Arabidopsis thaliana: one gene and its partner. The protein of the gene in region 1 interacts with the protein of each later gene in a pairwise test. Each region holds a gene or a part of one and is shown on either strand. Other genes may lie near its edges.

Region 1 (6,117 bases):
AAAAAAGGTAATCAAGTTTGCATTTAATTGTAAGAGTTAACTTTTGTCATATGAAGATTTCGATTAAGTTGTGTTTTATTGAAGCCTTGAAATAGTAGGTACTCCTGTTTTTCATCATCGCAATCGCAAAGATTGGCTCATGAAACTCATTGTAGCAACTAGCAACCTTTCGATACTTAATAAAAAGAAATAATGTCAACATGGTCTTTAAACAATAAAACAAAAATGTACATAAGTAGAAGTCAACAGAAAAAGGAGACACTTGGTTGGATCCGTAAGCATCTAAAAGACAATTTCAGACAATTTGGACCGACGCGGTTTCAACACAAGATAAGAGGAGTCGTGTCTTGTTTAATCAGTCAACGTTTACTCGACCCTTTCCTTCCTCTTTCCCTTTTCTCTACTTTCTTCCCCCAAATTTCTGTTCTAATATACGATAAAGATGTTTTTTGTTCCATTTATTAGTTTTGTTCCTAGTTTTTATTTATAATTTAGTAGTTTATAACTATTTAAAATGTGCAGTATTTTAATTTGTTATATTGGTTGATTTTTTATAAATGAGAAAATACTTGTTGTTTCTTAATCTTTGTGATTTTAGCCAAAACGTTTTTAAGAAAATGGGATAGAGGAAATATAATACAGCCTATTGCATGATGAAATGATACAACACGTAATCTTGATATGTTGTACAATATAAATATCCATATTGCCATATACTTAATAAAAAAATACAAGATGGGTTGTTATGTATTACTCCATAAATGTGCATATTTGGGTACGTACAGTCAACGTTGGATATCTGCCTAAAACATACAATGAATTTTATTTTCCTGTTAACCTCAAAATAAGTGGTACAAAACCAACGTGACAAGGACGACTATTAGAAAACGATAACAGTTAATGTAGTTAGGTATAATTCTAGTGTCTGAAACGATCTTTCCAATAAAATTATACTATTATGCATATTGTACTTTGTATTTTGCTAAGTAATTGTGAATCAAACGTAAGAACATTACTTTCCTCCTCTCTCCTCTGACTAATATAGGGCTTCTTACCGTACAGTCTTGTGGATGTGACTCAAAACATCTGTACAAGAAATTTGTGTATTTTCTCACTATTCTTGGTCCAATCTGAGTATTTCTATACAGTATAGTATAATTTTTTCCTTATTTTCGGATTTTCCATTCACTTTTGTTGGAATTTTTTTCCAGTTTAAGAGATACAGGAAAAAAGTTCTCCTCTTAATTACTCTAATTATTAAATTTACTAATCCTATTTCAATTCCTCTCATTTCCAGTATTTCAATCCACTGATCGTCCAATATGCAATATATTTTACCTTTTTAACACACAATGTTAGTTTCTTGACAGATTTGACTTTGAATTTTGGTGGAGATTAGTAAAAGAATTAAAGAAATATGTAGTGGAAATATAAAAAATAATGAACTGGGATGAGATTACACACCAGACACCACTTGCCAAGAGAACAACGGGCTCAGTCACATGGTCCTAAATTGACCATTTCCATAATATTAGCTGCCAACAAAATACATAAAATAAAAATACGGTTACTTTCATAACTCCCCTTTTAATTTATTAATATTTTAAAAATTAAGCAGACCTTAATTCATCATCTTTTAGTGCGTTACAAACTAACAGCGTTACAAATCTCTCTTAGTCCAAAAAATGTGACTAAAAGATTTCTCTTTTAAACCCTTAAAAATCTGGAATCAAAATCTTTTATATTTTCAAATTTTTTTGGAAACAAATAAGAATGTAGAATTCGATCAATATGAAAGAAAAATGAACGGTGTTAGATTTGCTTTGGAAATATGTAAACTAACAGTAATTAACTTGTTTTAGTCATTAGCAACTAATACAGTAATTAACTTGTTTAAAGTAAAATTAGAGCAACCTAGGAATATATGCTCAACTTTTTCGTTTTCTTCTAATTGTTAAAATAATGTTGTCATTGGCCAGTCGCCATTATACCTTTTTAACCCTTCACAGTCTCCCAGAAACCTCCCTTTCTCTTTGATACATTCTCTGTATATATATATATACGCGTATGCGTTTACACATTCTTTAAAAGTTTCAGATTCTAGATAAATTCTTTTCATTTGATTTGTTTTAGCAATTCGGACATTGTACAGAGAAATCAAGAATGGATTTGCAGAGAGGCTTTGTGTTCTTGTCTTTGGTTCTATCTTTTATGATAATCGAAACGACGGCGTATCGAGAGAGACAGCTGCTGCTGCTGCAACCACCGCAAGAAACGGCGATAGATACCGCAAACGCGGTGGTGACGGTTCAAGATCGAGGTTTGAAGACGCGGCGACCGGAGCATAAGAACGCATACGCAACGATGATGTACATGGGGACGCCAAGAGACTACGAGTTCTACGTTGCGACACGTGTTTTGATCAGATCGTTGAGAAGTCTTCACGTGGAAGCTGATCTCGTCGTCATCGCTTCTCTCGACGTTCCTCTCCGATGGGTTCAAACCTTGTAAGTCTCTCTTCCGACCATCTTAAACGCTGTCGTTTCGAAACTTGACCACCAAACTATTATTAGGCTGGAATATACAATTGCTATTAATTTTTAAAAATTTTTTTACAAAACATTCGTAATTTTCACTATAATGGCATCGTGCGTGAAACAGCAGGAGTTCTAAAAACAAATTCAAATGGTATTTTTCTATATATATCAACATTACTTATTTAAGCAAAGGGAAAGAAAAAAGTAAAGATAAGAATTGGTCCTTGTCTAGTTGTATTCTTGAATATATAAGCTAATATGAAAACAAATATATTTCAGTTTAGCTTATAGAAACAAATATTTTAAGAAGTTATAGTTGGCAGTGGCACAGACAGATACACCTTCCCTTTCCTCTACGTCCTTCCCTGGTTGGACTCTTGAGTCTTGATTCACTTTTTTCTCTTAGAAATTGAAGTTAGCTTAGAAAATTGTTCGAATGAGACAACGACCACCTTATTCATAGAAAATATCGAGACAAAAGCATATTAGTTTTTTTTATTCTATCGTTTTCTTTCTCTTGATTGGCTTCACGAATTAAAATGGAATTTTTTGAGTTCATTTTTTGACCTTACTATTTTGGTGTAAGTAAAAGTTGGAGAGAAACAAATGTTTGAGTATTTATGGTTGACAGACACTTAGACCAACGCATTTAACTCCATTATATCCTCTCCTATTGGTCCTATATAGTATATGACAACGCGCCTATCTGTATAGAAATATATTTGTGTTTTAAAAAATCAATTCTCAAAAACTCGTTAGGTGTCATCTAGTTTTGAAAAACTTCTTTTGTTTTTTTCATATTAAGTTTTTGATTAGTTTAGTATTTTTATAAGTTAAACAACAATTTTTAAAAACATATTTAATAGGCATGTAGGTGAATTAATCATTTGAGTTTCTATGGACAGATTAGACTAAAACTAAGTGGTCCGGATGGTATTAACCACCAAAACAATCCAGTTTTCAAAAATTTAGAAATAAACCATAGATTAAGTCAACAATTCATTATGCACCCAAAAAAGTTGAAACAGGCGTAGAGATAAAGAATATGGCAACTAAAAGCGATCGATAGCAATAATCTTATTACATTGAATTGAAATCATATTAACTTAAGGAGAGTTGTTTGACTTTAGCGTTTTGATTGAAACCTTTTGGAAACAAGAAAGAGCTGTTTTTTTGTGTCAAATTACTAATTTATGACCGGCCAATCTGCTGCATAGATCATGCAATAACGTCTACATCTCAACCTCATAGCCTATAGTAATAATTTTTGTGTCCTTTAGAGCACATCCGATAAGAAAGATAAACCTATAATAATTGAAAGCAACATTATTAGGACTTTACACAAGAACTTCATTTTCTGATATGATTCATAAGAATATATTTATTCTAAAAAACATGCATGCATAACTAGTTTGTTTGTACGATGTTTGTGTGTGTGAATACTAATGAGCCTCTTTGTGAGCAGGGAAGAGGAAGATGGAGCTAAAGTGGTGAGAGTTGAAAATGTGGATAATCCATACAGGAGACAGACCAACTTCAACAGTAGATTCAAGCTTACTCTAAACAAGCTCTACGCTTGGGCTTTGTCTGATTACGACCGTGTGGTCATGCTAGATGCCGATAACCTCTTTCTTAAGAAAGCCGACGAGTTGTTCCAGTGTGGGCGCTTCTGTGCGGTCTTCATTAACCCTTGTATCTTCCACACTGGTCTCTTCGTGTTGCAGCCATCAGTGGAAGTGTTCAAGGACATGCTCCATGAGCTACAAGTTGGAAGAAAGAATCCTGATGGAGCTGATCAAGGTTTTCTTGTCAGTTACTTCTCTGATCTTCTTGACCAACCTCTCTTTAGTCCTCCGAGTAACGGATCTGTACTTAATGGTCACTTGAGACTTCCCTTAGGCTACCAAATGGACGCTTCTTATTTCTGTAAGTAGTCTCTTAATTCTTCTCTCAAGATTTTGTCTATAATGATTAATGTTGGCTAATGTATTAACTTGTACTCTCAGATCTTAAGCTAAGATGGAACATACCCTGTGGACCAAACAGTGTGATTACATTCCCGGGAGCTGTTTGGTTAAAGCCATGGTACTGGTGGTCATGGCCTGTTCTTCCACTAGGTTTCTCATGGCACGAGCAGCGTCGCGCCACTATAGGGTAATTTTAAATTTTTAAATGATGACAACTCCCTCTTAAGCTCTGTATAGTGGCTAATAATAATGATCTTGCAATAGGTACTCAGCCGAAATGCCTTTGGTTATAATCCAAGCAATGTTTTACCTTGGAATCATAGTGGTTACACGACTAGCTCGTCCTAACATAACCAAGCTATGTTATCGCCGCTCTGACCGCAACTTAACAACGATCCAAGCTGGTTTTAAGTTGATCGCGCTTCTCTCTGTAGTTGCAGCCTACATCTTCCCATTCTTCACCATCCCTCACACTATCCACCCACTCATCGGCTGGTCGCTCTACTTGATGGCTTCTTTTGCTCTCTCTTCCATTTCAATCAACACTCTCCTCCTCCCAACGCTCCCTGTTCTCACTCCATGGCTAGGAATTCTCGGCACTCTCCTTGTCATGGCCTTCCCTTGGTACCCTGATGGAGTGGTCAGAGCCTTGTCAGTTTTCGCATACGCATTTTGTTGCGCACCCTTTGTGTGGGTTTCATTCCGCAAAATCACATCGCACCTCCAGGTTTTGATTGAGAAAGAGGTGTTGTTCCCGCGATTGGGAGACTCAGGGGTCACTTCAGGCTTCAGCAAATTGTATTAGGGAGTCTTTATTTGACATATTGTTTCTCTGTATATAAAGGATTATTATTGTTTCATTCACATTACATTTATATCAACTCACTCTAACCTTCTTTCTTTTACCTAGTCAAAGTATCAATTTCGGTAGCCTGATTTCATACTCTTCATTATTGTTTTTAACTCACTCTCTTGGATTTAAAGATTTGTAGCATGAAAAGTTAAAGAACACAAACAATTGAGCACACTCTGTTTTTCTCTCTGTTTTTTATTTGTGTCCCTCTTTGATTTTTCCTCTCTAGTTACAAAAGCCCCCTAGATCCAGGTCAAGCTGTGATGTAGCTAGAATAAAATTACAAGTAGAGACCATAGAGATTCCTTTGGATTATTATTAACTTGCCTACTAGACTTGTGATAGTATGCTTCATATAGAAAACTCCTAATTTGATGAAAAGTCTAGTCTATATTCTCTAGGGTTAGTACATTTTAAGATTAATAACGAAACCACCTTTCTCCATAGCTCCGAAACACACTTGTATGCACCTACTCATCACAGAAAGATATTGAACAAAATAATGAATCATTCACTAGAAAAACTGTAGACGAAGAATATTAAGAGCAAATTGTTTACCCATTTCTCCAAGTTTCACAGCTTTCGAATTAGGTTATCGCCGCCAAGTATAATAAATAGCGACATTTATTATAAGACGGCGAGTTTTCTTTGGGCCACTTCACCCATTGGGCTACCCATCAGCGAACTAGTCCAAATTTTTACAATATACGATCCATATATTGCTAGGTTTATTGGTCAATCACGTGTTATTGCATTTTAA
Region 2 (3,775 bases), on another chromosome or scaffold:
TCTTCGTTGGATTTAGATCCATTGTTTAGATCGTCGTCTTTCTTCGATCGTTCGACTTCCATAGCTGAGAGTTTTTGATTTGATTTGAGTCAGATCTGAGGAGGGGAACGAGAGAGGGAGAGATTTTATAGAGGAGAGGATCTGAAGAGAAGAGATCGGCGAGAGAAGAGGACGATTTTCTTGTAACTGAATGATTCTCTCTATTGTGTGAGTGAGAGAGAGAAGCGAATCTGTTTTAATATTTCTATATTTATAAGTCAAATGTGTTTTTTTTATAAATAATTAACCTACGTGCACGTGGACTATGGTGTGGTGTGTATACACAGTGTAAAATCTGAGTTTTTTCTTTGGTGTGGATTTAGAGTTAATTAAATTGATACGTAAATGGATTTTGGAATTTAGATTATGACATGTTTACGTGTTAAACGAGCCAATTATGACGGGTCGTAGATTGTATTAATCTTAACAGAATTAAGTTTTAGTTGCAAATGTGTTTTTTTGAAAAGAATTAAAATATTAAAATGAAAATACACGTAAATATTGTTTGAACATTTGATTTCAGAACAATAGTCGTTTATATAGTGAGTTGTTCTTCAAATTACTTTTAATTTCGGAGTACTTAACTATTAACCAATATTTTTTATAATTAAAGATTACAAGGGAATTTTACTTTTTCTACCACAATTTTCCCAAAAAAAAAATATTTCTATCGCTTTTCAATAGTACCAAATTATTTATGTGGAAAGACCAAAAAAAATAAAAACTATGTGTCCAAACGTTTACACCGATTTGACATTTTCATTTTTATGTTCTCTCACTACATTGTTAAAGACTCTAAACGTGAGCTGGCTTTGCCACGAAGGATGATCCTCATGGGCTCATGGCTGGCCTCAAAGATTCTATCATGTCATGTCGTGGCATTTGAGATCGTCATTTTTTTCCTTTATCGCTCTGTGACCGCTGCTAAATTTAAGTCTAACCTAGCTCTTTGTTTACAAGAAAGGAGAGGATTATTTTAAATAAGAGAAAAGTTGGAATATTCGAAAGTGTCGTGCTCTTATTCTATGGTACGAGACTATGAGTGACTAGATAGAATTTTCATTTAGATTCTCTAACCATAATAATTAGGTAAAAAAATCTTAGCTATTAATATTGACTAATAAATATAAAATGTGAAAGTTTGACTATACTATATTAATAAACAAATGGTTAACTTGATATTGACCATGAATGCATCATTAACTTGCTTAGAATAACAAAAATCTTATGAATTTATAACTACTAGAAGTTTGATTATATGCGAGGTGGGTTCAGACTATTCACATATTACACAAACTATTTGTGGTATTAGAACTTGTATAACTTGGACAAAATTCATATCAATTAACAATTAACCTATTGAAAATTAGATAAATAGAGAAATAAATCTATTGTTTGCTTATGTGAGTATAAATAATGAGATTTAGACTTAAAATAGTTAAGTCAAAATTAAATAATATTTTGGCACCTTTTATAAGAAAAGAAGATAAAAGGGACCTATATGATCAAATACAAAAGTAGAGGGGTTATTTCATAATAACACGTATCTTAGAAAATCTTTTTAATCTTCTTCGTTCACCGAATCTTCTTGGGTTAGGTTTGTCTTCAAAATCGTCAGAAGAAGAAGAAGAAGTCAAAGACGATAACAATGACGTCATCATCGTACCTCCGATTTGCGATCGCCGTCGTAGCTTTCCTCTCAATCACCACCATCACCACCGCACGTCCTTGCAAAACCTTCCTAATCTCCTCATATTCCCTCTCAATAACCCCAGAAAACCCTAACCTCGAATCCGATTTCACCTCCACACGATTCGTCACCGTTTTCACAATCCGTCGTCTAAATCCTCACCACGTGGTTCCTTTCTTCGTCAATCGTCGTCACGAGAAGCCACAGATCCAATCGGATCGTTCCCTCCCTTTGATCTCTGATAACATCAATTCGTTTAGAGATCGAACCAGAGATATTCTTAGCGTCGTCGTCGCGCTTTTGTTCGGTGTTGGTTGTGGTGCTTTAACCGCTGCTACTATGTATCTTGTTTGGGCTCTTGTTGTGAATCGTCAAAGCTATGATTTTGAGGAAGAAGAAGATGATTATGAGAATGATGAATCTGATGCTGCTAGCTTGAAGAAATTGGGTTATGTTAAGATTCCAGCTCCAGCTCCTGCTCCTGTGAAGGAAGCTGCTTGATTTGAGGTTGTGAATTTCAGTTTCTGCATATTATCATGATTTACGTTGTTGCTTATCTATGTTGTTGCGTACAAGTAAATTCGTCTCTGTTATGGATTTATCTAAACTTACTATACTCTAAGTATCAGTGTTTTTACGATTTGTAGTTGATGTTTCTTAGATATATATAAGTGTGATTATGATGTTACCTATGGATTTATTCATTATCTTTGATACCAATGTGACTAGTTTAGGAGCTTAATACTTAAATGGATTGATCATCAAAGGAACCAAGGTCGTGACTCGAGAAGTCTGTTTCTTGTTTTCTTTCTGACTTGCTAGAACCTAACTTGGTCGCAGGATATGTGTATGGTTCTCATAGCCCCATTTTGTGGTTTAATAGCTTTCATTCTTTCAAGCACTGATTAGCTAGAACCTAAGTAGGTCGCAGGATATGTGTCTGATTCTCGTTAACCAATCTGTGTTTTGAACAGCCTTCAAGCATTGGGAGTGTCTAGTTTTCTATTGCTTATGGTCATATGTGTGTATGGTTCTCATTGCCCCATTTTGTTGTTTAATAGCTTTCAAGCATTGCATACTTAAGGTAGTGTCTAGTTTCGGTTCCGTTTCTTGTAATCTTACTGACTAGCTAGTAGCTAGACTTTTTAAGTAGGTAGCAGGATATGGGGATGACTCTGGTTGACCCCAATCTGAGTTTTGCATAGCTTTCAGAGCATTGAGAGTGTCTAGGTTCTATTGCTTATGGTCATCTGTATATATGGTTCTTATTGCCCCATTTTGTGGTTTAATAGCTTTCAAGCATTGTGAACTTTAGGCAGTGTCTAGTTTCTGTTCTGTTTCTTGTTATATTTCTGACTACCTAGTAGGTAGACCCTTTTAAGTAGGTCGCAGGATATGTGGATGATTCTCATTGATACTAATTTCTGATTTGCATAGCTTTCAAAGCATTGAGAGTCTCTAGTTTCTATTGCTAATGGTCATCGTTGTGTATGTATATAGCTTAAAGGTTGATGTCTTGGATGCAGAGGAACAATTAAGTGCCTTATTCTCTCTAGTCTAGTAGTTATTTGCCTTGTAACAATCCTTTGTTATGTTACTATTTGATTTGAGGTTGTTTTATGTATGTAAAATCCAGTACCTAATTGTCTTGGTAATAGAATCTATAGATGTCTCAAAATCGGTCCGATTTTCGATTGTCAACACAAATGGTGCAAGATTTTGCTTTCTACATATATACTCTTTTCTTAAAAAACTACCTCAAAAGAACCTAATTGTCTTGGTACTCTTTTCTTAAAAAACTACATATATATTCAAAAAAACTACCTCAAAAGAAATTGTTTATCGTTTCTTTTTCAGTATTTTAGTTATCTGATAAAATAAAATAAAATTGTTTTTGGGTCCTCCACTATACATATGAAGAAACTTGCACATCACCATTCAGTTTGGTCACATGAGTTAATATTAATGAAAGCACTCGATTAACAACAAATATCATTAATCAAACTCAGTAAATTATTTATACATAAAACGAAATTTTATTTTCAA

The links.
Region 2: the proteins of PGSIP7 (region 1) and AT1G65720 interact in a protein complementation assay, tested with the Arabidopsis thaliana proteins (one large-scale study listed by BioGRID).

Annotation. Positions count from the first base shown.
Region 1 is NC_003071.7:15,010,117-15,016,233, reverse strand, and holds PGSIP7 (Nucleotide-diphospho-sugar transferases superfamily protein), read left to right. Parts: upstream 1-1,949; 5' UTR 1,950-2,163; coding exon 2,164-2,507; coding exon of another isoform or gene 2,508-2,511; exon of another isoform or gene 2,512-3,982; coding exon of another isoform or gene 3,983-4,002; coding exon 4,003-4,463; intron 4,464-4,543; coding exon 4,544-4,691; coding exon of another isoform or gene 4,692-4,695; exon of another isoform or gene 4,696-4,768; coding exon 4,769-5,309; 3' UTR 5,310-5,527; downstream 5,528-6,117.
Region 2 is NC_003070.9:24,438,926-24,442,700, reverse strand, and holds AT1G65720 (uncharacterized protein), read left to right. Parts: upstream 1-1,627; 5' UTR 1,628-1,687; coding exon 1,688-2,230; 3' UTR 2,231-3,049; downstream 3,050-3,775. Other genes in the region: YSL7 (YELLOW STRIPE like 7), read right to left, coding at 1-62.